4 linked regions of the Caenorhabditis elegans genome follow. The protein of the gene in region 2 interacts with the protein of the main gene of each other region in a pairwise test. Each region holds a gene or a part of one and is shown on either strand. Other genes may lie near its edges. The genes, in order: abi-1, prx-13, athp-1 and Y79H2A.3.

Region 1 (8,290 bases), on a different chromosome or scaffold from region 2:
TGTTTTGATTTCAAAAATTGCAGTCAAAGTTTTGATAAATTGTTACTAGAGACTAAAAGTTCAAGACAGAACACGAAGATCATTTTAAAAGCTATTCTCTGTATGAATTAAGATACATAGGTGAAGGGATTTCCCTCAAGAAAAGTTTTTACACAATACATATTTTTAGGGGAAAAAAATTCACAAAGAGCAAAAGGATGGGAGAAACAAAGGGCGTTGAAGAAGAGGAGGTACTCATAACCTCATGACGCAGTTCACTTTTTTTTTCAATCGGTTCTTTTTTCTCCCAAATACCATTGGGAAAGGGGGGGGGGGGTTTGTTCGAAAGTGTCAACACAAACACAAAAATGAAATAAAAAGGATCATAGTATTGGTTTGGTAAAGAAGCTCTTAGAAAACGCCAGGCAAAAAAAAAACACATTCCGATGAAGAACTCTGAAGCTCATCTTTGAGCTCGTGGAGCCAAGAAAAAACTCAATGAGCATTGGACAGCTGGAGGGCAACACCAACAGCCGGAAAACAAGACATTTTAAAACTTTAAAAATTCTTTTATAGAAATAAATGTCGGCGATATTGCCGGTGTGGTCTTTCAATTTTTATAAAATAAAACCTATCCATTTTGTTGGCGTTTCCTCTTTTTTGGAAATTGTTTTTTCTTCGGATAAAAAATTATCCACAAAATTTTGATAAAAATATGCAAATGTTGGAATTTTCATTTATTCCGGGAAATTAAAGAACGTAATAACAGTTTTATTTGGAAAAAAAAGTTGCAACTTTGATCTAAAAATTTTTAACAGAAAAATCCATACAGTATCATCTATTAATCTCATAAATCAACACCAAAACTGAAAAATAAAGTATCTGTATCAAAAAGCACACAGACAGAGAAATGTTTACAGGCAGTCTAGTTTGTTCACATTTTGACGTAAATACTCAGTCATTGTCGTAGGTACTCAAATTTACAATACGATTAAAATTTTCTTGATTCTCAGCGCTAATTTTTGATCATTTACCGGAATTTATTGGTGTCAGTGAAGTTGATCTTGTTAACACGGAAAAACGGAAAAATTCTACAAAAATGTCAGACTTTTTTGGTGAAAATGAATTGATAAAAATTGTGATTGATAAGGAAAATTGGTGGTGAATTTTAAACTGTGTGATTTTGATCTGATCTTTTGCAATATCTGGTTAGTTGACAATTTATCATGTTTCTGAGAGCATATTCCTCAGAATTAAATTTGTTTTTATTTTGCTAGTTGTCAACTTTTTAGTGAATCTAAAAGTCTAAAAGGTTTTGAAAATGAAATCAAAATGCTTTAAATTCTTTTTTAAATCGAATTTTCATTTTCTTAGAAACGGATTTCCAGAAAGGAAGAATAAAAAACTAAATCCAAGAAACAGGAGATTTTCGCCAGAACGATTTTTTTTGAATAACTCAATTTGTGGGGATTCTTTGAAATTTGGGCCGGTCTGGAATTGAAGATTTTATTATTATTAATAGGAAAATTGCTCGATTCAGATTATTGAAATAGTCTTGAAAATATGAATGTTGAATTATTGTTGAATATTTCTGAAAAAAAGGCTACTTGCGACGTGGCCTAGAAAAAGAGAACAATCGGCCACCAATTTTTTTAAATACTAAATAATCTGTCTTTTAGTGATTTTTCTCCGTTATTACCAATATTTTTCATTAATTTCTTTTTTTGGCAAAAAACTTGAAAATCAAGGGATAAATTGAGGTACCGTTCTCGTTTATGCAACGTGGCCTAAAAAGCAGAAAGTTCGGCCACTAATTTTTTTTGGCATATTGAAAGAAAATCGGCCATAGATTTTTTAAATGAGCCTTTAAAACTGATTTTCGATCACTGAAACAACGAAAACAAAAAGAGTAAAGCAACTTGAAGGTTTTCAAATAAAAATAAGGAAGATGCTTGAACTCTTGTTAAAGAACATTCCAGATAAATGGATTTTGCAATAAATAAAATAAAATAAAAACAGGTGAGTTCACATAAAGATGTCTATTTATAACTATCAATGATGACTCTGGGGTTTACTATTTCCGAGGGTTTTTTGCGAAAGAACGGATCGGTAGCCGCCCCTGTGAAGAGAGAAAAAGATTGACGAAATATGTAAATAGAGAATAGACAAGTTGGTGAGCTCTTTCTGTTGTGTGTGTGAGAGAGATAGAGAGAGTACAGAGAGTACAGAGATATGGAAAGACGTAAGAAGAGGAGCGTACCGACGTCACGCCCTGGTAGGGGAGGGGAGAAGGGACACAGGACACTCTGAAAAGATAGAAAATAGAGAAAAAAGAGCCACAAGAACACTGAAATGAAATGTGCTTTGGTTTAAAAATAAGGGAACTTTTGAAAATTGAAAATACTGAAATGCGCGTATGGAGCACCAAAATTTCTTTGCAATTCAGATTGCAATTATTACCAAGTTGCAAGAAAATACAAAAAAAATAACGGTACCCGGTCTCGACGCGACCGAGAGTTTCGCAAAAGAGAGTGCGCCTTTAAAGAGTACTGTAGTTGCGAAATTCTGTTTTACGCAATTGTGTTCAATTATCATCGATATTTTTTCTTTTCGAAAAATTAGTTTTTCGAAAAACAGCTTTAAAAAGGGGTGGATAAAAATTGCAAAAAAAAACTGAGAAACTACGGTAATCTTTAAAGGTACACACTCTTCTATGCCTGAAATTTCCGGTCGCGTCGAGACCAGGTTCCGTAGTTTTTCGTCAGAAATTGTGTTTAATAGCAACAAGATTAGATTTCATTGTTATACAAGAGTTAAGGTCGGAAAAAAAATGTTTATCAAAAAATAAATATGCCAATTCAAATTTGTCCCATGAGGTATTTGAACCGATTTAAATATAATTACTGGTACTTTTTGTATTAGATGCTTTTGAATGGAAGATTAACCGCAGTTTAAGAGCACCAACAAAACAACAAACCGACTTTTCTTAATTGAGGTCTCGTGTTTTTCGAAAAAAAAAACAATGTTTTGTTTTTCTGACTGAAATGTTTCTCGAATTTTCCAATTAAAGCGAATTTTTGTTTCTTTTTATGAGCAGAGTACTCTGCAGAGTTTCATATTTTAAAGTTAAAAGATAAAAAAATACGGTATGCGGTCTCGACACGACACTTTTTTGCTAAATAAAAAGGGATGTGCGCCTTTAACGAGTACTGTAGTTTCAAACTTCCGTTGCTTTTAAATTTTCATGGAGTTTTCATGCAGCATGCAGCAACAAATTTTTGAAAGTACTGAACTCTTTAAAGGTGCACATCCGTTTTTATCCAATAAAAAATTGTCGTGTCGAGACCGAGTACCGTATTTTGGCGCAAAAATGACAAAATTTTGCGTCTGTGCAATAGTTAAGGTCCCACCGCGATCCAAGTCATCTTATTGGAAATCGCGCGGGAATTTCAACTGTTCAAGAATTCTGCTTGTATTTTTGACCTTTGTTCCTCCTCTAAGAAAATCTGTGTCCACCGCCCACCAAAAAAGATACAATTCCCACGCCTTGCAAACTCTTTGGCGTCACTATTCGTCGTGCCGAACATGAATTATTTAAAATTCTAAAATAGAAGAAAAAATAAACTAGAGAGGAGAGGAAAAGAAATAAGAAGGCACAAAAATATAAGAAAATGAATGAATGTGTGTGCATGAAGAGAAAATGAGCAATCTCATTAAATAGGCGAGCCCCTAGGAAAACCAAAAGAGAGTAGTACGGGGGCAGTGAGAGAACGAGCACATGCGTTCAGGAAATGCGTCGAGACTCGAAAATAGCAGTCGTATTGGCTATTTTTAGGCTTCTCACTGCTGCAAACGAGGGGACCACTGCTTCCTTCATGATTACATATCCATCGTTTATTTTTGGCTTTTCACATACAAGTACTCGAGGCAAAAGGCAATATATGAATATGAATAAAAGTGAGATTAAAAGCAATTGATTTAGCAGGGTTAGCATTTCTTGTTATCATACTGGAACTACGTAGTTTCCAGGGAAAAGCCCAGTGACTCCATCCAAGACACCTTCATACCAGTCGTCATCGTTCTTTTTCAGTACGTAGACAATTGCGTTCTCGCGAAGTGTCAACTCGTCTTCTTTTGCAGCATCATAGTCGTACAGGACCCGTACTGAAAAAAAAGATTGGTTTTTTTCGAAAATGTTTAAATTGACAAATATAATTGCTTTGTAACATTAAAAATTCTGCAAAAAATCGCATTTTACAACTTAAGATTTCGATTCTTTTTGGATTTTTTTGATACTCCGATGTTTTTAAAGGAAATTTATTTTTCGTTTTTTTCGAAAATAAAAGCTAAAAAGATAACTTTTTAAAAAATCAAAGCTTATAATTTTCAAAATTTGAAAATTCTCAAAAAAAAAAAATTTGGAGATATTTGAATTTTTCAAAATCACTTTCCAATATCACAAAATTTTTTGTTTTTTTCTCTTTTTTAAATTTTTATTAAATTTAATTTTTTTAAACTTTTTTCGGTTTTTATAATAAATTTTTCACTAACAATTTTAGCCAATTTTCTAAATCGTAAAATAATACAGAAAAGCTTAGAGAATTTTTTTCCGACAATTTTTCAATCAAATTAAAATCTCCAAAAATACCTTTTTCCAAATACTCGTTGGGCATCCATCCAGCACTCGTATCAAAGAGACTTGGTGGCTGACTCGAACTGTACGATTCTGTTCTACCAGCAAACACTCCATACGCTGATGACCCACCAACTGATTCTGGTGGAGGTGGTAGATCATCCATATCATCTTGTGTTGGCATTCGACTTGACATTCCAGTGAGCAAAGAATTTGGTGGAGGTGGAAGATCATGTCGGTTCACCGTTGATTTTCGAATAGTTCCATAATTTTGTTGTTGCATTTGTTGTTGTTGTTGTTGTTGTACCACACTTCCCGGTGCAACATATCCAGTATAATTCATAGCTGGTGGTGGAAGTGGGAATGTTGGTGATTCTGGACCTCCAGCACTACTTTGTGCAGATGATAGTCTGGGAATAGAAAAGCTACCATCCACTGTAGTCCGACCACCAGCTCGAATAGTTCCGTAACGATCAGGTTGATAAATGGAATTATAGTCTGATGATCCGTGTTGACTTCCGCTTCCACCACCACCGCTCATATGATCTCCGAACTCTGATCCGTGGCTCATTTGACGGCCGATTCGTGATTCTGATTGTGGTGTGACCTGTAAAAAGTAATCGGATTATGTTAGAAAAAACTTGATTAATTTTTTGAAAAGGAAATGAGCTGATTTTTTAAAAATTAGTTGTTTAGTCTGAAGTCGACAAAAACTAGCCTGAAACATTGAATTTCATAAAAAGACTTCTAAAAAATTTCAAAATTAATTATGTGATTATTCAATAAATACTGTATCTAACTGCTGTAACAAGGATTTCAGATTCTTATTCAGGCTCGCTCTAAATTTTTTTTCGATATTTTCAGAAGTCTCATTATGAAATGCGGTCGTTTTGGGTCAAAAAAACCGTTTTTTGAATAAATTTATCAATGGTTCACTTTTTTTTCAATATTGAGTGTATTTTTCAGAAAAAAAAGTTTAAAATTTAAAATGTATAAGTTATGTCAGAATTTTTCGCTCCCTTTTTTTTTTGAAAACGTTTTGTCAAAAACACGAAAAGCAAATTATTTTCAGCCTCTATGAATATTTCAAATGTTCACCTGTGGCAACCGATAATCCGATGGAGCAATTGATGGAGCATACGGTCTCATTGTTCTTCCTAACGTAGCCGTTCGTTCACCAGCATAAACTCCATACGCTGGAGATTCATTGTGAAATTGTGATGGAGAACTGCCAGAAATTGATGAAGTTGCTCTTGAGATTGGTGCTGCTCTCGGTGGATCCGATGTTCTGACACCATGCCCTATTCCGTCAAGAACAGAAAAATCGATGGGCGTTCGTTGATATCTCTGCTTTTCATCTGGGATTGCTGGTGCAATGATTTTGGGTTGCTTGAATAATGTTTTATTGGTTGTGAGAGAACCAATTTCTCGTCTTGCAAGCTTCTCTTTATGTACATCAACTACTTGGCTAACATATTGAACTTGATTTGTTAAAGAGTTCACTTTATCGGTTTGTAGAGCAAGCATATCGTGTAAATCTCTGAAAAAAAGATTCATAATTAAAACAAATTAATTGAAATACTTACGTAACCATCTTGTTAATCTGGTAGGCTACGCTGGCGAGTGCCTGGATCGCGAATTTCTTGGATTCCTCTAGCGCAGCAGATTTATTCTGAAAACGTTTAATTCATAAACTTAAAAGAAAAAATTAAACCACACGTTTGATTGTATATAATTATCCTCACAATACGCGGCAACTTGTTGAAGATTCGCATGACTCGTTTCCAGTTGAGCTCGATTATCGGGTATCCGTCGCTCGATGAGCTCTTGAAGATCATTAACACTCATTCCGCCTTCCCCATTATGTAGCATCTGTAACAAACTAAAAGTTAACTAACGTTTAGAAAAATATTTTAAAAATAATAAATTGACAGCAGAAATTTCATGAAAAACACTCAAAGGAACTGAATGAATAAGAAATTAATGAGGGCGTGGTCACAGAATGCAACGCGCGGCGCGCTTTTTCGCAAGTGGTACGCACATGTTATTTCCCGCGAGGAGAGCATATCGAATAATAGAATTTCCTCGGATATATTCAAATTAAATCGATATAAATCATATTTCCTACTAAATTTCTGAACCAATAATTCTAAAAATGAGCTCCAATGACGTTCTCGCACAAATTGCCGGTCTGGCGAAAGCTGCAGCAGAGGTTTGAAATTTGAAATTTTAATGTATTTAATTTTTGTATTTTTTTCAGCTTGAAAATGATTTCTCGACGGATAGTGAAATGCAACAAGATTCCGAGATTTGCGATGAAGTCGATGCGGAGCTTTTTGACGATTTCGAAACAAAGGTACGCTTTTGAATAAAGAAAATTTTAACAAAGTTCCCAGAAGTTGCAGCCATCATCTCGAAAGGAAAGTTCAGGAACGAGCCGTCGAACGAGAATGGCACACCGAGAGCTTCAAGGCCTCCAGTTCGCGAATCCAGGAGATGAAATGTCTCGATTTTTGCCCGACTCTGTGGATATTATTAGCACCAACCGCTCGAAACGTGTAGCCGCGGAGAAGCAGGCGGATCTGAGAGACGAACCTTTGCATCATGACAAAACAGGAAAACTTTCGGTTACCGCAAAAGGACAGACTTTGTTTTTCGATCTTTGTGATTGTCTCGTGGTGGAGTGTGATGGGTGCCATTGGCCATGTAAGCAGTGCAAATGTAAGAGATGATATTCATTAACTAAAAATATTTGTTCTAAAAATTCTTTAAACAAAGAAAAATGCATTTTTCAGCTCGCAAATGTCTCATCGGATGTCGTCAAAATCGAAAAGAAATGGTGATACGCGTCGAGGAGATGTACACAGTGACGGAAGCCCCGGGCCCTGTTGTCAATATTAATCCTTATTTTCCGGGCCAAATCAAGGATTAAATGCCTTATCGTTTTATCAATTTTAACCTCTTATGTATGTTCCCCTTTTTCTTGTACTGGTATTATCTATTTTGAACTGTTTTATACATGTCTTTGTGAAAAATTCAATCTCGATGTTCATTAAAAACTAAAGATATTGTTTGTTTTTGTTCTTTTTTGTCATACTAATCCATAGTTTCTCGGTTGATAATCTGAAAATATATCTGGCATCTTCTCGAGAAAAATTTAATCCAACGATATTTCAGAATCTTCCAGAAATGTCGTCATACGCTCTTTACCGAGGGACCACACTGGGTCAGGCACTCGATAAAACTCTTGAGGACATGGAATCCGAAGGACTTCTCACGAAATCTCTTGCTTCGAAAGTTCTGCAACAATTTGATAAAAGCATGAACAAGCAAATCTCGCGGCTTCCAAAAGAGAAAATGAATTTTTGTGCGACACAACTGCTCACTTATCGATATTGTGATAACGTTTGGACGTTTATTCTCAATAATGTCACGTTGAAAGATCCCCAGCGATCGTTTGATGAGCCTATTGATAAGTGAGTGTTTCTTTTATTTGTATTAAAAATAAAAAATCTAGAAAAAAGCAATTGTTTATTAATTTTCTATAAAAATTTTTGTTTCTCGATGATCTATAATTATTAATATTTCAGACTGAAAGTGGTCGCCTGTGATGGTCGTCAAACAAGCCTTCTGCAGACATTGAGCGCCCAGGGACCATCCAAGAGAGTCAATCGAGCT
Region 2 (7,698 bases):
ATTCAAAAGAACACGAGATGGAGACAGGTTTGTATCTATTTGAAATTTTAAAAACTCAGTAAAATATATCACTTTTCAGATTCTATTACGAAAATCCGGGAGTGTTCTCTCGCCGTCAACTTGTCGAGATTCGCAAGAGCTCTCTGAGCAGAATTATTTGCGATAACACAAACACAATATCAGTAAGAAACATTAAATTCAGCCTCTAAGCTCAATTTGAACTACTAAACATTTTCAGACAATTCCACGAGAAGCATTCCGAGTGGGCCATATGGTTCCATGTAGTCAGATTCCGTCGATGGACCTCAATCAGTGGCGAGACTTTTAAACGACAAAAAATGACAGCACATTTATACTTTTAATTCAATATGTTTGTTCTATTTTTCACATTCCTTTTGTCACAAATGCGGGGTATGGGCAGAAAAGCTCACTTCAAATTCTCTCTCTCTCAATTAATTACTAGGTTATAATTTCATTCTCTCTGGAATTGTTTCATGATTATAGTGCGAAATAAAACGTTTATGAAATTCGAACTACCCGTTTTAAAAAACACGAAAAGAAATAATGAATAGGAATTATTGAATATTTGAATTCAAATCTCTTGCTGGAAAAGCGTTAACAAATGTGTCTAAATTGCTCTGTTGAGTAAGTGGAGGAGATTGTGATTGTTTTCCGACAATTCTGACGTAGTTAATTGGAACAAGTCCAATACGACTTCCATCGGCAACACTAAAATATGAAGAATTAATAAATATCTAATCAGAGAGCTTTTTGATGCTACCTTGCTAAAAGCCATCCTCTAACTCTGGGTTGTTCTTCTTTTGGAGCCACTCTTAACGTTTCTCCATTCATGAAGCTAAGCTCTTGCTCATTTGAGGCTTGAAAGTCGAAAAGTGCTTGAGCAGTATAATGTGGAGCGGCTCCAGTTGCCCATTTTCTCTTCTCTTCAGCAGCTTGTACCATCTGACTGACACATCTATAGATGAGCCATGGTCCTCCAATTGCAACAACCCAGAAGAGAGCAGCAGGCCAGTTGACACTTGCTGGAGTTCTTGTGGCACCAAGAACGTCTGTGGCTGGAAGGAAAATTACGATTTTGGAAAATTATGGTACAAGAAATAAACCAAAAGAATATAGATTATTTCGAAAATGTAGTCAGAATCATTATTTATCGTATTATTCCTAATTTTAGATATTCAAACTATATTTCTCAATTCTAAACAAAATTTGAACACTTACCATACGGTTGTGATGTTCCCCAAGCCATTTCAGCAGCGCTTGCATAACTTGCTGGTTTCAATTTCAACATAACCAGTAGCCATCTCCAGAAACGATATACCCATCGGAAAACTGCCAAAGAAACAACTACTGATGACAACTGGAACAATAGAATAATTATTATCAGATTTGTTTTTTTCAATAAAAAACTCACCTGCGTCTTTAATCTTCCAAATTGCTCTACAACTCCAATAACTGCTCGAAAAGAACTATAAACTGCATTATGAGTTGAATTGAGCATGTTGGCGACAGATGAGACTGCATTTACAACTGATTCGATTGATTGAAAAGCGCCTCGAGACTGTTCTTCTGCAAGTCGAGCAAAATTGCTGTCAGGTCCTTGACCATATCCCATATGGTTGAAGCCACCACCAAATCCACCGTAACCCATTCCTCCTCCATACATTCCCCCACCACCATACCTAAACAATATACAATTTTATTAATACAAAATATTTTCAAATCGAGGCTGCGCGAAACGTAGGCCCCTTTGAGTTATACAGTAACCCATTCTCTATCATTTCGGTACTGACTTTATTCGGTAAATTACCCAGACATGATATTTTACGATTTTGCGTCAAGGATACGGTACCCGGTCTCGAAACGACACATTTTTCTTAAATATGAAAAGGTGTGCGCCTTTAAATAGTACTGTAACAGCAAACTCTCGTTGCTGAGGGACTTTCATCGTTTTTTCATGCTTCTTCTCTCTTTTTTATTAGTATACTTGAATTTAAAATTAATTTATCGGAAAAACTACGAAAAATCCATGAAAATAAGGCAGCGACGAAAGTTTGAAACTACAGTACTCTTTAAAGGCGCAGACATTTTAGCATTTACGAAAGAGCATTCAAAAAAAAAAAAAATATTTAAAAAATAAAACTTACATTCCAGACCCTGGAAACGTATTCATTCCATATCCTCCACCATAACCAAAACCTGTATTGATCATTGGATTCGACATTTGATTCTTAAATATTATCGATTAGTAGGAGTTTCAAAACAATTTATCAATAATTACATCAAATGACCTTGGCGGCAGCGGAGGTGGTTGATTTGTTGGAGGTGCGGACATTATAATTTATCTGTAATAATAAATGGAATGTCGTTATTCGATTTTGAAAAATGGATTAAATTCAAGAAAAAATAAAAGAAATGGCAACTATGAAATTGCCGTTAGTCACATTGTGGACTACAATCAATGACTGCAGCGGGCGGTTGATAAGGACAACGTCCCATACTAGACTACATTGTAGTCTAGTAAAAGAGTGGGAGGACAGATGAAAGATCTTAAGATATTGTTGAAGTATAATTCAATTTATTGTAATAAAATTTCAAAACATGTGAAACAACCCGACTTGGGGAAGATCAGAAGAGACGGAGGAAGGTTTGGTTTTTGGGTAAAAAAATAATTTCAAATACATAAATTATTTAGAGTAAACGAGAAATTGTTATCAGCAATCGAAGCACTGCAGGAATTATCGAGCTCCTCCGCGTCCGCCTCGGTTTCCACCACCTCCGCGGTGTCCTCCACGTCCTCCTCGTCCACCACCACGACCACGGGATTGCTCGCGCTGCTGTTGACGACGAACTTCGTTGACTTCAGTTTTCACGAGATCGACCACCTGGAAGAATGGGAAATGTTATGTTGTCGAAGAGAAAATCAGGTACTTACTGTTTCTGGAATTCTGAGATACTTGATAGTAGATCCCCGGACATACGCTTCTGACATTTTGAAGAACTTGTCACCGTCCTGTAATTTAACATGTATTGTTAGTCGCAAATTTGCATCAATCCGAGAGTTTTAGATGTTTGAAATATTGAGCTGACATATGAATGCAAATTAAATATGAAAGGTTCTTTCTAAATTAGAATCTGTGAGCCGTTTAAAACAAAATTATGTTTTTTTTCAATAATAACGAAAAGAAATTTCTGAATAGCCAGTTTCTCCTGGGCTAACCATTTAATTAAACGAAACACTTACTTTTGATGTGAAAATAACATCCACCAAATGAATATTCATCCACGAATCGCAGGCTTTCAGGTGACCGTTATAAGTCTCGCCGTTCTTCAACTCCACAAGCATCGGGTGGTTTTGAGCGGTTTTGAGAAGAGAAAGTGGCAACTGAAATCATACACTATTTGAGTTCAGCTTAATTCGACTTACCACCATGACTATATTGATTTAGTGGGGTTGTGATTGTTTTTCACTAGTAAAACTTAAAGTGAGACAATCTGCAAAGAATAAATTAAGATTTTAAACTGAAATTACGGCGAAAAGACAATTCGAAACAAAAAATTCCGATAAAAAAAGATTTTAATGCACACAATATTTACGTTAAACAAGGCGACCATGCGTCATTTCGGAGGGTCGTTGGTGGATGATCATTTGAAAACAGGGTTCACCTCTGCAATCGATTTTTCTTTGTTTTCATCTCAAGATTATTAGTTTTATTTTAAAACATGATTTGAGGAATTTTAATATTTATAGGTTCAATGGCTGATGATACCGGAGAACATCCGGTATGCTTCAACTGCACATTACGAGTCGACCAAACCATTCATGTCAAATGCTTTGAATGTCCTCTGCGAATTTGTATCCTCGTGAGTTGACAGATTGTGAAGTTTTTAAGAACATTATTTTATTTTTAAAATTTCAGTGTTTCCAATGCGGCGCGGAATCACCACCACATCGCCGAGGTCACAATTACGAGCTTGTCAAGCCAACAAGTAATCCCGAAGCAATGAGCTGGACACACGAAGATGAATTCGAATTGTTAAAAGCTGCTCATAAATTCAAGATGGGAAATTGGGGAGAAATAGCTGAAAGTATTGGTCGCGGAAGAAAAGATGGTCATAATTGCAAGGATTACTTTGAAAAACATTTCGTGCGTGGATGGATTGGACAATTTTCCATAAAAAGTTCAAGTTGGGATCGAATTAAATATGGGATGTATATAAATCAAACATTAGACAGTGTGCTACAAAAAAACTGTTTGGAATCAACGGAAAGAATGCTTCTGATTCGAGACGCCGTTCGTGCATCTGGAGAAAGCTGGGATGAAAACGATCCGAAACTTGCGATAAAAGTGCAACAAGTATTAGAGCAGTATGTGCAAAAGTAAGTGAAAATGTCCTATTTTTCATATATTTAGAATTTCTTCAGAGTAATCGATGGTGACATTGAAACCAAGTATGAGCGCCCAAAATTCCTTACAAATCAATATGAGACGGAGCTTAGCCCAGATGACTGTGATCCTGATAATGAAAGAGATATGAAATCGAAGCGATCAGTAAAACAGGAAATAAATACTGATGATAGTGATAATGACAATTCGCCGGGCCCGTCTTCCAGTTGTCGGAAAAAGGGGCCTCCGAGTCCAAAGAGAAGAAAAACTACTCGAGTTATGAGAGAATCAAGCAGTGATTCGGACGATGATGTGAGTTTAAGGAAAATAACTAAATTCAGTTTTATGTGTATTTTTTCCAGAAAAGTCAAGCTTCTGATAAAGACACCTACCACGGCATGGAACGCGAAACAGAAGAAGAAGATCCTCCAAGCGCTTTTGAGACTGCACAGGAATTTGATACAGAAGATGAAGAAGAAGAGAAAAAACCAAAGAGAGGAACAGCTTCGAGCTCAAAGAGACGAAAGCGAAGGAGGATGTGGGTTTCGAAAAAAGATAGAAGATTGCATGAATTCCGTAAAAAGATGAACCGTGAGCAGAAACAAGGAGAAAAAAAGTTAGAAACTCTCGGCGCAATTTGTTCTTTAGAAGAAGTTAAAGAGCTCAGAAGTGCATATCCTCGTCTACTTCATGAAAGTGGTGTATCAAAGTCGGAAACTCGTCCAAAAATGAGAAGAAGTGATGAGTTGAAAATTCTTGGATACAATAACGAACGTGAAGAATTGGAGTGTGAATGGTTCAATGAAGCTGAACAACTTATCAGTCGCCTCACAATATCTGCTACGGAACCTCAGAAAGATCAGAGACTCGATATGGAAAATGATATTAAGTTCGCCCGTTTGAGACATTACGTTCGTCTACTCGGAATTCGGAAGGCTAAACGAAATACTGTGCTTGAACATGACAAGATAAATGAATTCATGAAATTCTACCAAGAAGCATGCTACGCAGCAGCCAAACGTCCAGTGAGCCAGCAGGAGATAATGGATTCACGTACTGAAAAGGAGAAGCTATTGGCAATGACTCAACAATTCCTGACTAGAGACGAGTATCGTAGCCTACGAGCATCCATTGAACGTATCGATAATGTAGTGGAACGGATCGAAGTACTTCAGGATCTTCAGAAAAACGGTATTAAAATTTTTATTTATATTAAAATCAATTTAAAATGAACAATTTTCTTTAGAAAAAAACATGACAACTTTGTCCTATTGAAAATTCATAAATACCGTTTGAAATTCTTATTATTATTTTATTTTTCAGGCGAGACCACTCTCAAGAATGCTCCAGTTGAACGCAAATCGAAGAAAAAGATGAGAAAAATCGATTGTGAACAGAAGAAAAAGATTGCTACCGAATGGAGCAAGTTTAAAAAGTGGCACACTGAAGGATGGGAGTAATTTTATCTCGTATTCGATTACCTATTTATAACATATTATTATTAATTTTCCCCGTCTCTGTTTGTCATATTTATTTTCACTTTCTAATTCATTTCCATCCCTTGATTCTCTAACTCATTACAAGCTCTGTACAATTATACAATTACTCCACCGTCAAAAATCTGTATTATGTTTTTTTTTTCATAATTTCATTTGGTCCTAATACATGTCTTCTCAACCTTATCAGACTGTTCACTTGTTTACTCAAACAAAAACTCGTCATCTCCTAGGAGCACAAAAACTGAGTCACAGAATGGAGACATTGTAAAAATACAATATACAAATTGTTTGCTCCTTTTACAACGAGACGCAGAGACAGGACAGTCTCCGTTTCGCAAGGACACTCGGAAGATGGCAGTCGGGTCTCTCTCTCACCTCTCTCGTTTTGCCCCCAATTTTCTCTTTACTATTAACCAATTTTTCTTTTTTCACACAATTTACCACGTCGCTTTTGTTTTCAAGGAAATCTGAATCAATCTTAAAGTTTTCTAAAAATAGAAACATGAGAAAAGTGGGCGGAGTCATCTGAAATTGATGAGATGACAAGATATTTAGTAGTTTTCATTGGAAAAGTAACTTGTCTTCATCTGAAACAACATTTGACACTTAATTTCGTATTTACTCCTCTCAAAAATCATGACTTCACCTGATATTATTGGAAATTGTGTTGCAGACTTTTTCGGTTTGTTGTGCATAAAAATCTCTTCATTTCTTTGTAATTTTAGAAAAGCTTCATTTCGAACAAAAACTTATTACGCTAACGCGAAATTTGGCGGTTTTTGGGCAAAAAAATACGGTGCCCGGTCTCGACACGACAACTTTTTTTAAAATGAAAACAGGCACGCGTCTTTAAAGAGTACTGTAATTTTTAACCTTTCTTTTTGCAGAATTTAATTTTTTCAGACTTTTTCGATAAGAATACAAATTTAAAATTCAAATATAACAATAAGAATCAACGATTTCAAGATATCGAGAGACAAATCATGAAAAGCGAAAAAGATCCTCAGCAAAGAGAGTTTGTAATTACAGTATACTTCAAAGGCGCACACCTTCTCGCATTTAACAGAAAATTGTCGTTGCGAGACCGGGCACCGTATTTTTGGCACAAAATCGAAACATTTTCAGCCTGAATAATACCAAATTTAAAAAAATATTTAAAAATACTGATAAAATGGAAAATGTAAGTAATCAATTCCTTTACATTAATTACCCAGTAGGAAGTATCATATTTTCCAAAAGCTGAAGTCATCTTTCAAAAATAATACAAAATTAATTTTTAAACGTTATATTCCTCTTTTCGAATTTTAGAAAAACCCCGCCGAGGTTCATTTCTCGTAACAAACGTTGCTAGTGACGGTCTCACCGCTGTTGCTGTCACCAATCCGCATCGCAGGTGATCTCTTCGTTACGATAGAACAATTGTAAACGTCACTTTTGATAGATGCTCTGCTTTCAGATTTCAAATTATGGACGACGAGTTGGCTGAAGCAAGAGGAGAAGGTTCTGGAAGGAAAAGGGAATTTCATTCAAGAACAAATGCATTGGATGTTAGTTTTGAAAAATATTATAAATAGAAATGTCTGCGGCTACGCAAAAATTCAGATAATAGTCAATAGGCAGGCGTAGGCATATATGTATTAAATCTTGGTTCTCTCACTTTTTGAGTTTTTCATAAAACTCTCGAAGATTTAATTTCGTAAACCTTCCTATTTTTCAAAATTTATAATTTCAGTTAAAAAATTGTTATGTAAAAAGTTTATCTTAAAACTGTTATTTTAAGATTTTTAACTTCA
Region 3 (8,193 bases), on a different chromosome or scaffold from region 2:
TGAGCATTCCGATGAGCAATGAGGTGTTGTTCGAAGTTCCGAAAAATGGAGAAAACGTGGTGGATGGTGGTGCTGGGGTTACTGTAGTTGTAGTAGTTGTTTGTGAATCATCTACACACCATGGGCATACTGTATTGGATGCTTGAACTTTGACGGTTGACATGAAGCATTGACCTTGGATCTGGAAATTTTGGGGATTTTGGAACAAAATTAGACTTAAAATTCAATTTTTAATGGGGTTTTTAGCAAGAAGGTTCGAAATAAAATAAAAATATTCAATTAAATATCAAAATCTTGTTTTTCTATTCGAATTTTTGTGAATTTTGCAAAAAAAAGGCGGAAAAACCGTGCCATTATTTTTTTGGAATATTTTGAAATATTTCATTTTTTCAGCTAAAATCTGATTTTTTCGCTAGCTTCGAATTTTTTATAAGAATTTTTTTATTCTAGCTTTTTTTTCGATTCGAAAACTAGGTTTTTAATTAAAATTCACAACAAAATCCGCCGAATTTTTCCGAATTTTTTGCCTGAAAAATCTGAAATTTAGATCAATTTTCTAACCTGCAGTGTTCTTTCCAAAAACTCTGGCGTTTCCCCAGTAGAATTCTGGAAAACCCGAATATATCCAGATCGATCACAAGTTCTAGCCAATCCATATACAGGATCCACTGAAACAAATTGAATAGATACCATCCAATCATTTAATCGTCCTTTTGGCCAATGGGTTACTGTAGGTCGAGCGATTCCATTTATATACTCGAAACTTGATGAACGACGTTCGTGGTGGGGAAGGATTCGTTCGTCGAGCTGGAAAATACTGAATTAATTTTTTTTCAAAGTGATCTACTAAACCGCGCTCCTTTAATGGCCCGAAACTACCAAAAATTCTGCTAAAATTTGAAATTTTGGAATTTGTTTTCGAAACTTTTTTACCATTGTATTGGGCTTTTTTTGGGTCGCAGTGAAGAAGTAAAATTTTGAATTTTCAAAGAAAAAAACCAAAAATCGAGTAATTTTATGGCAAAGATGTATATTTTGCGATAGATTTTTCGGGGAAAAATGGTGTTTTAAAACATATTTTTGACGCGAAGTTCAAGGAAAATTGACTTTTTCGGCAAAATTGGTTGTAAAAACTCTGAAATTAGCGCGAAAATTAACCAATTATGTTTTTTTCCAAAACTTTTGGACTATTTTTCAAGGAATCTTATAAATTTCCAAAACTCACAGTCATATAGCTCATAGTTGCACATCCACTAGTCTCTGTACCCCATGAGGTCTCATCAATTGGACATGGTTTCCGTTCCACAGAGAGAACATTCACGTGGAGCCACATTTCAGAGATGACCGGGCTCACGGAGCACACCAATAATAGTAGAATTCCATAGAAGATGGGCGACGACATTTTAGTGTAGAGTGTGTGTCTGAAAGAAGGATTTTTTGTTGAAAATCAGGAAAAAAAACGGAAAAAAATTAAAAATTATTTTAAAAAAGTTGCAAATAAATCAAAAACTGCCATTTTTTCAATTTTTCGGAGAGAAAATCGAGAAAATGCAACTTTTTCTGCAGAAAAATATTCAAAAATTCAAAATTTTTCCAATTTTTCGGTGTTTTAGAGAAAATTTCAATTTTTACTTCGGAAAAAAATTTTTTCTGCAACTCGAGGAAATCGTTTTTTTAATACGACCAGAAAGGAATTTTAGGAAAATTGGAAAATTCTGAAGCTTTCAGAAAATTGAAAATTGCCAATTTTTTGAAGAGAAAAGCTAAAAAATTAAGATTTTCCCCAAAAAAATATAGGTTTTTTCGAATTTTTAAAAAAATTTCAATTCAGAACCAAACATTTTCGGTGATTTTTCAATAATTATTTTTCGAAATTTGGAAAAATCCAAAAAAAAGTGTGAATTTCAGTGAGAAAAAAAAAGCTAATTTCTGCAGAAAACAGTGAAAATTTGAGAATTCTAGGAAATATCGAAATAAAAAAAAGAATGTCGATTTTATCGGATAAAATAATACATCGACATACTTTGAGAGACTGGAATAAGAATAACACAATGACTGACTAATTGGATGCATGGTCAGGTAGAAGGAGGAAGGGGGTGTCACCTAATTATAGGCGGAGCTGGAATTACAGAGCGTCTCGAGAGATGGTTATCTTGTCGAAGGACGGGATTAGCACCTTTTACAACGTGTAGATGTCTATTGAAAGAACAAAGGATTTGATTTGTGATGGGCTGAAGATTAAGATGTTTATTGCCTTGTTTTGGAGCTTTATCTGGGCAAAAGATAAGATTTTTTTATACAAAATTCGAATTTTTGACGAAAAACGTAATAAATAATTGGATTATAGAGGATTATAGACCCAAAATGTGCTCGAAATCTGAAATTTTGTCCATTTGTCTGAGTTGCAGTAGTTGATGGAAGGTATACCTATTATAATTTGGTAGATGCACAAAAGTTGGCAGGTGTGTGGTGCACACATATCGACCGTAAATGTACCAAAAAAACACAAAAAGTATGCAAAAACAGCTACTTCACTGACAAGTAAACAAAATTTAAGATTTTAGGTTATTTTTTGCGATTTTGATTCTATTTTCAATTGAGGAGCAGTAAATAGCGGTTCTGGGTACTAAAAATGTGCTTATTTTTGTTTATTTTCCGCTTGAATTCATTTTTTCAACCCAGAGGTACCACACAACATCATCTCACTACATTTTTTGTGATATATCAAATATAATATGATTTTAAAAAAATTGAAAATACTTTTAATGGAAAATCTGACAGAAACCAAGATAAAAAACTACAAAAAACTGGGAAGAACTGGGAAAAAATTTTTTAAAAAAGTTTTCTAAAATTAAAACTACAGTACACTTTGTTCAAGGCGCATGTGCCGTTTATAACATCGTGGCGAGACCCTCGCCGAAACTCTGTCCATGCTGCTTATGATTACTGTAGTTTATTTATTGTTTAATTTTCTTAAATCTTTTATTTGTTCAATTTCCTCGTTTTCCTTCGCTTTTGTTCCAATTTTCTGTTGAAAAAAGTATATTCATAACAAAAATTATTTCTTTCTTTCCAAACAAGCCAAAAACAAGGCCATAAACCGGAAATAGCCGACAAAAGAAGTGGAGATGAGTTTTAGGGTTCGAATAGGACTGCCGATGGTTTACAATGCCGATTGTGACTGTGGAGATGGCTGTAAAGGTGCGAATAGTGATTCTTTTCAAGTTAGCCGCTGGAAATTTCTCTGAAAATCTGAAATTTTACCTGAAATCTGAAATTAAATTCAAAGAAATGCGTGAAATTATAAATTTTTATGAATTTTCTTCAATTTCCCCTAAGAAATCAAGATTTTATCCGTAATTTCCGAAATTATAGGAAAAAACCTAATTTTTTTCGGCTTGACGCAACTGCGCTCCATTGCGAATTACGAAGAAATAGTATGTGAATCGAGGAGGGCACAGACAGCTAGACATCATGCTTCTCATGAAAATTCATTCGAATTTCTGCGATTTCTATGACGATTTTTCATTTTTTCTTTGATATTTTAATTTAAAATGCATTTAAAAAATCATTTCTCATTGATTTTCTTAGTTTTCAGAAAATATCAATGCAGAAAAAAGAGAAAGAAGGCCGAAGAAAGCTGAAATACGACTCAAACGACGGTCTTCTGCCGGTAAAATTGGCAAATTTTCACTTTTTCGCCTCAAATTCCAAATTTTTGTAGGAAATTCGCCGAGTTTGCGGTTTTCCACACCACATTTCCGAAGAATTGTCGGCGAGAGGGTCTGGAAAGAAGAAAAAGCAAGTGGAGGAAGAATGGAAATGGCCTGAAGCTCAAATATGCGGAATTTGCTCTGTAAATACATTGATTATTTGGAAAAATATTGGAAAAAACTAATTTTTCCCTGAAAAAGGCAGAAAAATTGCAAAAAATCATCAAATCTTTGAAAATTTCGATTCAGAACTGGAGTTTAAAGTAAAAAAACCAGATAATGCTGAAATTATTTGATTTTTTAAAAAAGTTTTTAGTCCAAAAGAGCTGCAAAATTCGAATTTTTGATGATTTTAGCATTTTCAGAATAAAAATTCCCTTTTAAAAATTTATTATAGGCCTAGGTTCAGGCTTGGGCTTAGGCTTGGGCTTGAGCTAAAGCTTAGGCCTAGGCTTATGCCTTTAGGCTTAAGCTTAGGCTAAGGCTTATGCGTAGGCTTGGGCTTAGGCTTGAGCTAAAGCATAGGCCTAGGCTTAGGCTTAGGCCTAGGTTCAGGCTTGGGCTTAGGCGTAGGCTTAGGCTCATTATATTATTTTTGCAAAATTGGAAAAAAAAATCCCAAATTTTAGAAAAATCTCTCCACTGAATTCATAAATTTTCAATAAAAAAATGCCCAGATTTCCAAATAATTTTCCATGTTTTTTTGCAGTCCGGCGGTAACATTCTATGCTGTGAACAGTGTCCAGCATCCTTTCATCTTGCTTGTATTGGATACGAATCATCCGATCTTCCAGACGACAATTTTTACTGTAATCGATGTAGAAATCTTCCGGAAAACGTTCGGCTCTTTCCACCGGAAAAGTGCTCGCCGTCTGTAAATCCAGTGCTCCGAGTTGAAAATGAAAATCACCGAAATTGGGAAGCTATTGAATATCATTGTAATCGACTTAGAGATGAGGAACAGGCCGAGAAAATGAAAAAAGATGTTGCTTATGGGCCAAAAAGTGAATTTGCAGAAATTCAAGACTGTTTTCGGGATAAAAATCTACTGAAAGCACTTGGAATGGCTAATCCCATGGATGTAAGGGAGTTTTTTCAAAAAAATGAATTAATGCTTCAATTGAAAAATTAATGAAAATCGAAAATTCTGGATTTTTTAAAATTTAATTTTTTTTTTTAATTTTCGATAAAAATAGTTTTAAAAAATGCGAAATTTTATTAGCAGAAAATATTTAAAACACTTTTTCTCCCGAAAAACGTTGAAATTTTCGGCGTTCGATCCGATTTTCGGGAAAAAAGTGAAAAAAAAATTAGAAAAATCGGGATTTTTAACACTGTAGGATAGGATAGAAACAGAAAAAAACACAATTTATTTGCAGAAAAATGTACAAATATTTTTGAGTATTTTCGACCTTTTTTCCTGAAAATTATCGTTCTTGAGACCATTTTTCCGATAAAAATATTAAAAATAACGCTTTTTTAATTCTTGTTTCGAGTTTTTGTGAAAATTCTTTATTTCTGTGTCCTTCAAAAATTTCCAATTTTACAATAATTTTCTCGAGAAACCTAGATATTATTCCAAACATTTATAAATAATTTTTCCAACATTTTTCAGTATACAATACCACCGGAATTCCAAGCAGATCGTGATTGTTTCTCTGGTGATGCAATGGAAGACAAGAGGCCAACTATAATGGGAGAAGTGTGTGCTGAGTGCAATTTGTACGTTTTCGTAGCAAAAATGGACCTAAAGTGCCAAAAAAAAGAGGAGTTTCCTACCAGAAAGTATTGAAATTGAGCGATTTTCTCTCGAAAAATATCCGAAATTTTTCTTCAAAAAAAATCATTTTCGATTCTTAAAATGATCTCAAAATCTGAACTTTTAGATTTTTTTCTGAAAAACACGATAGAAAAATCAAAAAGAAAAATCAAAAATCAAAAAATTTCGTTTTTCGATTTTCCGATTTTCCAAAAATTAGCTTCACATTTTGGACATTATTCTTATTTTTAGAAGAAATTTGGATTTTTTTCTTACAAATATAAGCAAAATTAAATAAAAAATCGAATTTTATGGTTAATTTTCTGAACATTTTTTTCAATTTTTCGATGTTTCGATTTTCACTGAAAAACATCGAAAAATCGAAAAATGGCACCCTTGATCCCTTCTTGAAACTCCAATTATTATTTTTTTTGCAGAAAAGACGACTGGACACGAATGCTAAAATGTGACTTTTGTGATCTAATTTGGCATCAAAAATGTGTTTTTTTTCTGGAAAAAAAGTTTTAGCTAATTCAAAAAGTCAAGATTTTAAAATCTTAATTTTTTTTTGAAAATCAAAAAATCACCTGAAAAAGACAGAAATTACCTATTGAAGAAAAATAACATATAGTTTTCGAATATTATGTGATTTTCAATTGTTAAGAAAAATTCAATATTTTTTCTGAAAAATTCTGAAAAAAGTAAATTTTAATTTAAAAAAAAAATTTTCTGTAAATTTTCTGAAATAAATTTTGTAGTTGAGGAAAAATTTCAAAAATGTTCCGAAAAATTTTCTTAAAAATTTCAAAAAACTTTCGGAAAAACTTCAAATCAACTAGTTGATAGAATGAGAAAACTTAGAAATTTGTAAATTCCCTTAAAAATGCAGAAAATAAGCAAAGGTAGGCAGGCATCAGGCCCTGAAACCGCGCCTGCCTACCATATAATTTAAAACTCCAATTATTTTTTGCAGAAAAGACGACTGGACACGAATGCTAAAATGTGACTTTTGTGACCTGATATGGCATCAAAAATGTGTAACACCTCCACTTATTCATGTTCGTGCATATTTCTATTGGATGTGTCCAAGACATCCAGAAACTGTCATTGATAGTGTTTTAATTGGTGATGAGATTTCACGAGAAGATCGTCGACGGCTTTATGATAAATATGCTGATGTTGAGCCGAGCTACGAGATTTTTGAGGAATTTTGTATTAAAACTGAACAATTTCGAATGAAATCGGAGGTTTTTGGTGAGGTTTTGCTTACTGAAAATCTTTTTTAAAAAACTTGAAATTTCTAGAAATATTAAAAAAATTTTCTAATGTTTTGGATTTCTTCAAAAATCGTTTTTTTTTTAATTTTTAAAAAAATAGAAAAATGCTAAAAACTGGGAAACTTTTAGATTTTTCCCAGGAAAAATGCCAAAAATCAGAAATTTTCAAATTTGTTTCTGAAAAATGCAAAAAACTTTGAGGTTTTCAATTTTTTCCAAAAAAAAATCTCCGAAATTCCGAAATATTTAGATTTTTACATAAAAAACAGAAAAATCTTTAAAATTTTCAATTTTTTCAAAAAAATGCTAAAAAACTCGGAAAATTTTAATTTAAAAAAATATGAAAAATTCCGAAATATTTAGATTTTTCTAAATAGTTACAGAAAAAATCAATTTTTTCTAATGTTTTGGATTTCTTCAAAAACAGAAATTTCAAAATTTGTTCCTGAAAAATGCAAAAAACTCTGAGATTTTCAATTTTTTTCAGAACATTTTTTATATTTTCACATTAAAAAAGCAGAAAAATCTTTAAAAGTTTCAATTTTTTAAAGAAAAATGCCAGAAAATCAGAAATTTCCAAATTTGTTTCTGAAAAATGCTAAAAACTCTGAGATTTTTGGATTTCTGCGTGAAAAAACAGAAAAATCTGAAATATCTACGAAAATTTTTTCGGAATTTCCAGTTTTTTTTTCTGAAAAAATATATATTGTTCAGAAACAAACTGTTCCTGAAAAATGCTAAAAACGCTTTAAAAAAACCGAAATTTTTGAATTTTCAACGAAAAAAATTGCCAATTTTGTAATTAAAAAATCGATTAAATAAAATTTTTAAAATTAAAATTTTTTATTGCTAAAAATTTTTTTTTTTGAAAAATGCTGAAAGAAAGTAATTTTTAGATTTTTTTTTAAATTAAAAATTAAAAAATTTTCTGTAAAATTCTGGAAACGTTATTTTTGAAATTTTAAAAATTTTCAATTTAGTTGTAAATTTGAATAAAAAATTCCGAAAAAGAAAAAATTCACCGATAATTGTAAATTCGATTTTTTTTTTCAGATTCCGAAGAAATGTATTATGATCCTGAAGAAGCCAGCACATCATTCATGCAAACTGTAATAAAACCGAGACAAACTTCACGCAAGACTACTGGACGTTCGGCGTCGAAAAAGAAATCTAATGGACGATTTTTTGCGTCTTCTTGGGATTTTCCCGGGTTATCATCTCGAGAAACGTCGCCGTCACGCAAAAATTCGCGAAAATCGCCTGATTCTGTGGCTACTGAGAGAAAGGATCGAGTTTTGGATAAAATAGATAAAAAACGGAGTATTAAGCTTACTGAAGAGGAAATTATTATGTCAATTATGCCTGTTGAAGGTAGAATTTTTTAAATTTGAAAAAATTTGAAAAAATCCGTCTTTAAAATTATTTTAGAACCAAAAAGATTTGA
Region 4 (8,319 bases), on a different chromosome or scaffold from region 2:
AAAATGTTGTTTTTTTGTCCGAAAATCAAGCCCGTAAATCGACACACAAGCGCTAGCGCTACAGTAGTCATTTAAAGAATTACTGTAGTTTTCGCTACGAGATATAGTTATAGTTTGCGCGTCAAATATGTTGTGTAATACGCATTCTCAGAATTCTGTGTTCCCGTAATATAATTCTACCTCCATCACACGCGACACTGTCTACAAGACCCAGAACACTCTCATAGACATCTTTTTCAGACGATTCTCTGCATAAAAGAGACGTTTGCACGAGGCGCCGAGAGACTGGCGCCCATGAGGAAAGTTCGAGGGTTTTTAGTTTAGAGTGAAGCTGAAAATATAAATTGTATATTTCAATTTCTTAATTAATATAGTTTTTACATGAATTCGCTTCTGAAACAATCCCGAATGCCTCTGAAGCCATTCCATCAGAAATGCTTGCTTTTTCTCGTCTGTTTCAGCGCCGAGAAGAATTCTGATAATATCCGGAGCGGTGAGGAACTGGAAACGATTAAAGCTACTATTAAGTCAACTATTAGTCAACTAACAATATACTGCTTAAGGTGAGCATAGGATCGAATGTGTTGATTCACAAAAATCGGATTTTTTGAGAAAACCTGCCAGCAGCACTGACAGGTCACCTCATTTGCCGCTTCATCTTCCACCATAAATTCCAGTCCAACATCGCATTGGGTTTGAACGAGGACCTCCTGGAAGGCAAGATTATTGGAATTATTATTTTGTTAAAAATCCAAAAAAAAAAAACCGCACCCTATTAACTTTCCAAACTCCTTTAACGTCGGTTTCCGCGTTGGTTACTGTAGGGGAATACGGAACAAAGAACATTGGATCTGCAAAATATAGGTTTTTTTTTTCAATTTTCAATATAAGTTTGAAGATTCCTGAGCGTGTCGTTAATTTGGCAATGTCGCGGGGGCGGAGCGGGTGTCGGTTTTTCAAAAATTATCTTAAATTTTTGGTTCTTGTTCTTCTTTTTAGAATAAATTAATTTTTTTTTCTCATCAATATAAACAAAATTAGATTTTAAAAACCTCATATTTTAGGTTAATTTTCTGAAAATTTTCGATTTTTTTTAAATTATCGTTTTTCGAACTTTTAAAAAATTTTTTCGATTTTTTAAATTCAAAAATTGAAAATTTTTCGTTTTTCGATTTTTTTGATTTTTATAATGCGAAAAATGGAAAATTTTTCGTTTTTCGAATTTTTAAATTCGAAAAAGTTTCGTTTTTCGATTTTTTTATTTTTTTTTGATTTTTAACAATTCGAAAATTTTTCTTTTTTCGAATTAAAATTTTTTTTTTTCGTTTTTCAAATTTTTTCGATTTTTTAAATTCGAAAATTCGAAAATTTTTCGTTTTTCGATATTTTAAATTTTTTTTTTTCGTTTTTCAAATTTTTTCGATTTTTTAAATTCGAAAATTCGAAAATTTTTCGTTTTTCGAATTTTTAAATTCGAAAAAGTTTCGTTTTTCGATTTTTTTATTTTTTTTTGATTTTTAACAATTCGAAAATTTTTCTTTTTTCGAATTAAAATTTTTTTTTTTCGTTTTTCAAATTTTTTCGATTTTTTAAATTCGAAAATTCGAAAATTTTTCGTTTTTCGATATTTTAAATTTTTTTTTTTTGATTTTTAACAATTCGAAAAATTTTCGTTTTTCTTCATTATTAAAAACTCGAGTAGTAGAACCGCGCGGCAGGCTTGCAGTCGAAGCCCCGTCCCTAATACATTGTGAAATCAACGGAGCGATCGTCCTGGAGAGACTGTAGTATAGGAGTGTACTAACTAAAATCAATTCTAGTCCTCATCGCCGCAGTTTCAAAATGTTGAGCGCTGAAAACATGCTTCTTCCATGCCGCTGCCATTTTCTGTGGTTCATCGACAAGATTGGCGTCGAACTCGATGTAAGTACAGCACGAAACACAGAAACGGAACATTTTCCCGGTTGTCTCCTTGAAATCATCGATAACTTCCAGCGGTGGATCCGGATAAACACGAACATCTTCGGATAGCTGGGATTTTATAAGACTCGGGAAGTGAGACAGTGTACGCGCCACTTTTTTCGTGTCATTCTCCAGTGTTAACGTGGATATGAGCATCTTCAGTGCTTTCGCTCGTCTTTCAGGGCCATCTAGTTGTTGAGCCAAATAGGAATTGTAAGAGTGAATCATGTTCTGGAAATTTTGATTATATTTAATTTGTGCAACTCAGTGCGCTCGCTAACCAGGTATTTCATTGCGTGATATTCCGAACTAAAATGCTCCAGGACTTGATCATCCCCATTCACTAGTGCGTAGCAAATTGTGCAAATTCGTTCATCACCAGCATTAATGAGATATCGATAGCCACATGGCTGGCTCAGGAGCCACGAGCCATCATCGTCCTTCTCCGTCCAGTGAAGCTGTGCTTGAGATTCTCCAGTCTTGAATTCATCGAAGATCTCTTGAGGGTGAACTGGAAAGGTTTTGAATATTTGAAATTTGAATATTTTCAAATTTTAAAAATTTTGTAATTCTAAATTCTAACATTCATTTATCGCCGACAAAACCGCCGCTCGTTGTTGGTGCATTGTGCTCTCACAATGATGAGCACGTGATTTTTCCTTCGTGTACTTCCCTGCCACCACAACCGGAGCCACCTCGTTGCAAGTCTGAATAATGATATCGAATATTCTTGAAATATATTAGTTATCGGTAATAAATACATACACTACAATGCAGAACACTGCGATTCGCGTCATTCGGACACTGCTGAAACGTCACATCCACCTGATCTTCGATTCCGAACTTTGCTTTACCATCAGCAGTGCTGAGTGGCATTCGTAGGATGCTCGGAGGCTGAAGCCCATCGATTCCACCGTCTCTTGCGAAAATTCGCTCGGCCGCAGAACGATATCGTTCATATTTCGCATACTCGTCATCTTCGCATTCTTCTTCGATCTGCTCCTTCTCGTCACACTCACATTCGTCCTGAATTGATGGGAAAACTCAAAAATCGTGTTGAAATAATGGAAAATTGTAAAAAATTAATATTTAAAAAAAAAGGTATTTTCTCTCTTTTATGCAGAAACCCCGCTCTCGATTTTGAACATATAGACCCAAAATGAGCTCAAATAAACGAATTTCGTAACAAAACTTCTCAAAAATTGTTCAAAAATTTTTTCTGGCGGTTCAAAATTAGCTAAAAATCTCGAATTTTGTCCACTTTTCAGTGTTACAGAAGTCTGAAGTTAACTTTTTTTGGAATTATCATCTTTAGTTTATCTCATTCAACTTCGTTTATTAAAGTACATTTAATGCCGATAGAATATATACTTTAATAAATGAAACTGAATGAGATAAGCTACCAAAATATGCAATAAAAAAGTCAACTTCGAGCCGCTGTGACACTGAAAAGAGGCCAAAATTCGAGATTTTTAGCTAATTTTGAACCGCCATAAAACTTTTTTGAACAATTTTTGAGCAATTTCGTTACGAAATTTGTTCTTTTGAGCACATTTTGAGTCTATACGTTCAAAATCATTCCTGCACATTACCATATAATTCCGAATATGATCCATTGAATTGAGATGAGCATCCGCCAACTCATAAGTGTCTCCAACTTCGTAGCAAGTAGCACACGTCCAGAAATTCGTTTTTTCTTGATTCGAAACTCCGACTTGTTGAATTTCCTGGCATTGGTGGAGGCCTAATTTTCCAAAAATGATATTATAAATTATCCAGAATATCCCGTACTCACCAATGATGGGAATCTTCTTCAGCTTATATCTTTCAAGCATCTCCGATACCGCCATAGTTCCATGAATGGTGGATTCATCCCGGAAAAACTTGTGCAAATTCCACTTCTAAAGGTAACAAATGAATTTTTTTCCCCAAAAAAAAAAAGGAAATTCTCAAAAAAATACCTTCACATGTCTCTTGCTAGCACGATGCTCCAATTTCTCCTTTTCGCTTGCAAAAATCGATCGACAAGCGATGCAATAGCCATCGCTAGTCCAAATTTCGCTATCGTCTTCTTCCATTTTTCGAGATCTAAATTATTAATTAGGAATAAGAATTAGGAAAACGAAAAAAAAAATCTTCGGGGAAAAAAAAGATACGAAATGCGAAGAAATAACGCAAAATAAGAAATATCGAAATATGTCGAAAATTGCCGGGGAAAACAAAATTGCTGCATTAATGAATATAAAAATGTAGAAAAAAAAAATATTCAGAAGAATAAAGGATTCAGGTTAAAGCAAATCTTCAATGGGTCGTGATAAAAAATCGAGATAAACGGGGGGAAGAATTTTTTTAAATGTACACTGAAAAAATAAACAAAAAAATCACATAAATAGCTGGGGAATTCGAGATGGAGCAATATAATTGGTGATAATTTTTTTTTTTGGTTGGTAAATTGATTGAGGAAGACTTGACGGCGGTTTAGACGAGTGATGGGTGATTCTGAAAATTAAAATTTTTTGAAAAATTATTTAAAGGCAGAGTGTAAATAGAAAATCGAATATCTATTAGAAAAAATTCGAAAAAAAACAACGATTTTCAAACTCGCGCCAGAGACATTCTCATTGGAGCGCGCCGTGTCTTGTGTCGATTTACGAGTCAATTTCAGCTTTTTCTGGTTTTTTTGTGCTGAAAATTCATTTTTTCGTGTCATTGAACATTTTATTATCATAAAATTCCCCTATTTTGAATAAAATCGATAATTTGTCGATTTTTTGATTTTCCAGAAAATTTAAAAATCGAATTTCAAAAAATAATACTATTTAAATTCGATTTTTAAATTTTCTGGAAAATCAAAAAATCGACAAATTATCGATTTTATTGAAAATAGGGAAATTTTATGATAATAAAATGTTCAATGACACGAAAAAATGAATTTTCAACACAAAAAAAACCAGAAAAAGTTGAAATTGGCTCGTAAATCCACACAAGACACGGCGCGCTCCAATGAGAATGTCTCTGGCGCGAGTTCGAAGATCATCGTATTTTCGCGATTTTCCGCTGAAATAGAATGTCAGGAATTTTCTAAACATAAATATTCGAAATATTCGGCACTCCCGGATTAAAAATTCGATGAAAAATGTTATTTAAAGACCCATGCGCACTTCTTTTTGTTAATAATAAAACTCCAATTTCAACGGGTTTTTTCACTCTCAGAATTAGGATATTATTTGAAAATTGAAAATTCATCCTTCAAACCTTGCAACAACTTACCCGACAAAATTCTATCGTTTCCTGAACTTTTTTTAAAACTATTTTAATTGCCGAGAAATGACTTAAAAATCAAAAAAAAAAATTAAATTAAATCACAAACCTTCAAATCCCAAAGTGCAACAATTCCGTCAGTTCCACATGTTGTGAATTTCACAACATTTCCGACGGTTCCAGAGTGAGGTAGGATTTGACTGAAAAAATTATTTTTTTTTTTGGAATTTCTGTTTTTTTTTTGTTCGGTAGATTTACGAGCTCGTGTACAAAAACCGAACAAAATTTTTTTTTTTCAAAAAAATTTTTTTAATTTGATTTGGAAAGGAAATTTCGTTAATTAAATTTTTTCGATTTTCTCTGAAATACGGTAACCGGTCTCGAAACGACGAAATGTTGTTAGTACTGTAGTTACAAATTTTAATTGAAAATTTCCGGCAAATCGGCAAATCGGAAATTTGCCGGAATTTAAAATTTCCGAAAAATCGGCAATTTGCCAGAATTGAACATATCCGGCAAATCGGTGAATTGTCAGAATTGAAAATTTCCGGCAAATCAGGAAATTGCCGGAATTGAAAATTTCCGACTAATCTACAAATTGCCGGAATTGAAAATTTCCGGCAAATCGGTAAATTGCAGTAATTCAAAATTTCCGACTAATCTACAAATTGCCGGAATTGAGAATTTCCGGCAAATCGGTAAATTGCCGGAATTGAAAATTTCCGGCAAATCGGCAATTTGCCAGAATTAAACATTTCCGACAAATCGGCATACCGAAAAATTGTCAGAATTGAAAATTTCCGGCAAATCAGAAAATTGCCGGAATTGAAAATTTCCGACTAATCTACAAATTGCCGGAATTGAAAATTTCCGGCAAATCGGTAAATCGGCTTCGTTTCTGCGAAATTTTTTCCGATTTTGAACAGTTTTATTTTTGATGAATTTTTTGTCCGAATTTTTTGAGATTCCAAAAATCCTACGATTTCGGGGTTATTTTATGCATTTTTCATTAAAAAATCTGGGAATATTTAACGCAAAACTGCAAAAAATTGGCGTTTTTCACAAAACTCACGTAATTCGATTTTGATGGAGTGTCTTCAAGGCGACGTTAATCTTTTCCGCAGCATTATTTCTATAAAAATTGGAGGAATTAAAATACTTTATTTTTGATGATATTTATTCACCGATCGATATTTTTGAACAGCTGAAGAGCACTGTTAACCGTCGATGACTTGGCCGCTGATGGGACATCCAATTTGCAAACTTCTTTCAAAACATCTTGAGACACTACAAAGAGCACCGGCGAGCAGTCGTGACCCTATAGAAAAGCAGATAAATCGATTTGTAAACTTAAAAAAAAATCAGTGCCGCATAGAAAAATGGGCGGGGTGTGCAACCTTTTTTTTAAATGTTTTTACAACCAAAACATCTTCACAAGTTTATTTATATTCGAAAAAAGATTAAAAAAACAAGTAAAATTGAATTTTTGTGTGGAAAAAAATCAACAAAAAACCGCGCGCCGCAGGGTTGCGAAATTACGCTCCGCCTCTTTTTCTGTGCGGCGACGCTGCTTTATCTGCAAAATTTCGTGAAACTTACAGCCGTGACAACACTGTTCTCAGTAATCCATTCGACTGTTGTGAACGGCAGATGAATGGTCAGCAAGTTTTGAACTTTTTGGCTGTCCTGGAAATAGAGGAAAAAATCGATATTTTTTTCGAAAAAAAAAATGCATAGACACCAAAATGCGCTCAAATTAACGAATTTCGAAATTAAATTTCTCAAAAATTATTGAAAAAATTTTAATGACGGTTCAAATGACCGAAATAGGTCAAAAATGGCTAAAAAATGACTGAAAAAGACGAAAATGGCCAAAAAATTACCTAAAATTGGCAAAAATGATTGAAAAAGACGAAAAATGACCGAAAAATGACCTAAAATTGGCAAAAAATGACCGAAATTGGCTAGCAATGGCCAAAAATGACTGAAAAAGACTAAAAATGGCCAAAAAATGACCTAAAATTGGCCAAAAATGACTGAAAAAGACTAAAAATGGCCGAAAAATGACCGAAATTGGCAAAAAATAACCGAAATTGGCTAGAAATGGCCAAAAGTGACTGATATTGACTTCAAAAGACTAAAAATGACGGAATAAGACCAAACCTGACCAAAAAAGTGGTCAAAAATGACAAAAGATGACCGAAATTGGCCAAAAATTACAAAAATTATTGAAATTGACTAAAAACGACCGGAACTGACAAAAAATTGGCCAAGAGTGACTAAAAATGACCGGAATTAGCTAGAAATGGCCAAAAACACTAAAAATAACCAACTTTTGGCAAAAAAAAATATCGGAATAGGTCAAAACTAACACAAATTGGTCAAAAATGACGAAAAAAGACCAAAACGGACAACAAATTAGTCAAAAATGACTAAAAAGTAACCAACTTTTGGAAAAAAAAATTATCGAAATTGGCCAAAAAAACCTCAAAATGGCCAAAATGACTAAAAATGAGCAATTTTTGGCGCCAAAGATAGCTGAAAATGAAGCCATTTTTCACTGCAACTTTTTCCTCACGAGGGACGAGGAAAAGTGGTTTCTAGGCCATGGTCGAGGGGCCGACAAGTTTCAGCGGCCATTTATCTTGTATTGTTTTCCGCCTGTTTTCTTTCGTTTTTCACTGAATTTTTTTCGTTTTTTCTTAATAAAACAGATAAATAAATATTTTTTGCAGATGCTAAAACAATTTCCAAGTGAAAAAATCATGTATTCAGTGGGCAAGCAGCGGTGAAAGTGGTCAATGTAATATGATGGATTACGGGAATAAAAAACCTAAACTTTTTCTTAAACATGATACATATGATGCTTAGATGCTGAAGCTACCTGATTTTCATATCAAGACCGCTGAAAAAGTTTTGAGGTTTCCAAAATTCAACTTTTTCGGTGAAAAATTCGAGATTTTCGCACAAAAAGTGGAATTTTGAAAACCTCAAAACTTTTTCAGCGGTCTCGATATGAAAATCAGGTAGTTTCAGCATCTAAGCAGCATATTTATCATGTTTGGAAAAAAGTTTAGGTTTTGTATTCCCGTAATC

The links.
Region 1: the proteins of prx-13 (region 2) and abi-1 interact in a two-hybrid assay, tested with the Caenorhabditis elegans proteins (one large-scale study listed by BioGRID).
Region 3: the proteins of prx-13 (region 2) and athp-1 interact in a two-hybrid assay, tested with the Caenorhabditis elegans proteins (one large-scale study listed by BioGRID).
Region 4: the proteins of prx-13 (region 2) and Y79H2A.3 interact in a two-hybrid assay, tested with the Caenorhabditis elegans proteins (one large-scale study listed by BioGRID).

The regions. Positions count from the first base shown.
Region 1 is NC_003281.10:5,686,247-5,694,536, forward strand, and holds abi-1 (SH3 domain-containing protein), read right to left. Parts: upstream 6,485-8,290; 5' UTR 6,461-6,484; coding exon 6,332-6,460; intron 6,285-6,331; coding exon 6,199-6,284; intron 6,153-6,198; coding exon 5,711-6,152; intron 5,220-5,710; coding exon 4,628-5,219; intron 4,144-4,627; coding exon 3,983-4,143; 3' UTR 3,861-3,982; downstream 1-3,860. Other genes in the region: arle-14 (ARF7 effector protein C-terminal domain-containing protein), read left to right, coding at 6,768-6,824, 6,873-6,968, 7,009-7,333, 7,408-7,544; B0336.13 (Transcription initiation factor IIA small chain homolog), read left to right, coding at 7,802-8,088, 8,203-8,290.
Region 2 is NC_003280.10:7,249,651-7,257,348, forward strand, and holds prx-13 (Peroxisomal membrane protein PEX13), read right to left. Parts: upstream 2,366-7,698; 5' UTR 2,354-2,365; coding exon 2,300-2,353; intron 2,249-2,299; coding exon 2,166-2,248; intron 1,701-2,165; coding exon 1,433-1,700; intron 1,379-1,432; coding exon 1,240-1,378; intron 1,077-1,239; coding exon 782-1,076; intron 730-781; coding exon 576-729; 3' UTR 501-575; downstream 1-500. Other genes in the region: skpo-3 (peroxidase), read left to right, coding at 1-27, 80-182, 239-328; lsm-4 (putative U6 snRNA-associated Sm-like protein LSm4), read right to left, coding at 2,757-2,903, 2,954-3,031, 3,263-3,403, 3,446-3,451; ada-2 (SANT domain-containing protein), read left to right, coding at 2,912-2,945, 3,770-3,882, 3,939-4,399, 4,445-4,718, 4,769-4,997, 5,055-5,597, 5,730-5,866; F32A5.8 (DeHydrogenases, Short chain), read left to right, coding at 7,372-7,452. UniProt on the Caenorhabditis elegans protein: Component of the PEX13-PEX14 docking complex, a translocon channel that specifically mediates the import of peroxisomal cargo proteins bound to PEX5/prx-5 receptor.
Region 3 is NC_003281.10:10,878,763-10,886,955, forward strand, and holds the start of athp-1 (PHD-type domain-containing protein), read left to right. Parts: upstream 1-3,003; 5' UTR 3,004-3,201; intron 3,202-3,598; 5' UTR 3,599-3,607; coding exon 3,608-3,673; intron 3,674-3,724; coding exon 3,725-3,856; intron 3,857-4,422; coding exon 4,423-4,794; intron 4,795-5,328; coding exon 5,329-5,435; intron 5,436-6,445; coding exon 6,446-6,726; intron 6,727-7,802; coding exon 7,803-8,120; intron 8,121-8,193. Other genes in the region: C44B9.3 (C2 domain-containing protein), read right to left, coding at 1-181, 562-807, 1,226-1,333.
Region 4 is NC_003281.10:12,048,254-12,056,572, forward strand, and holds the start of Y79H2A.3 (C2H2-type domain-containing protein), read right to left. Parts: upstream 4,051-8,319; 5' UTR 4,041-4,050; coding exon 3,924-4,040; intron 3,864-3,923; coding exon 3,758-3,863; intron 3,707-3,757; coding exon 3,555-3,706; intron 2,989-3,554; coding exon 2,728-2,988; intron 2,670-2,727; coding exon 2,546-2,669; intron 2,474-2,545; coding exon 2,244-2,473; intron 2,194-2,243; coding exon 1,806-2,193; intron 852-1,805; coding exon 772-851; intron 711-771; coding exon 549-710; intron 502-548; coding exon 382-501; intron 332-381; coding exon 181-331; intron 1-180. Other genes in the region: arx-3 (Actin-related protein 2/3 complex subunit), read right to left, coding at 4,441-4,461, 5,233-5,253, 5,333-5,423, 6,296-6,355, 6,408-6,541, 6,823-6,909.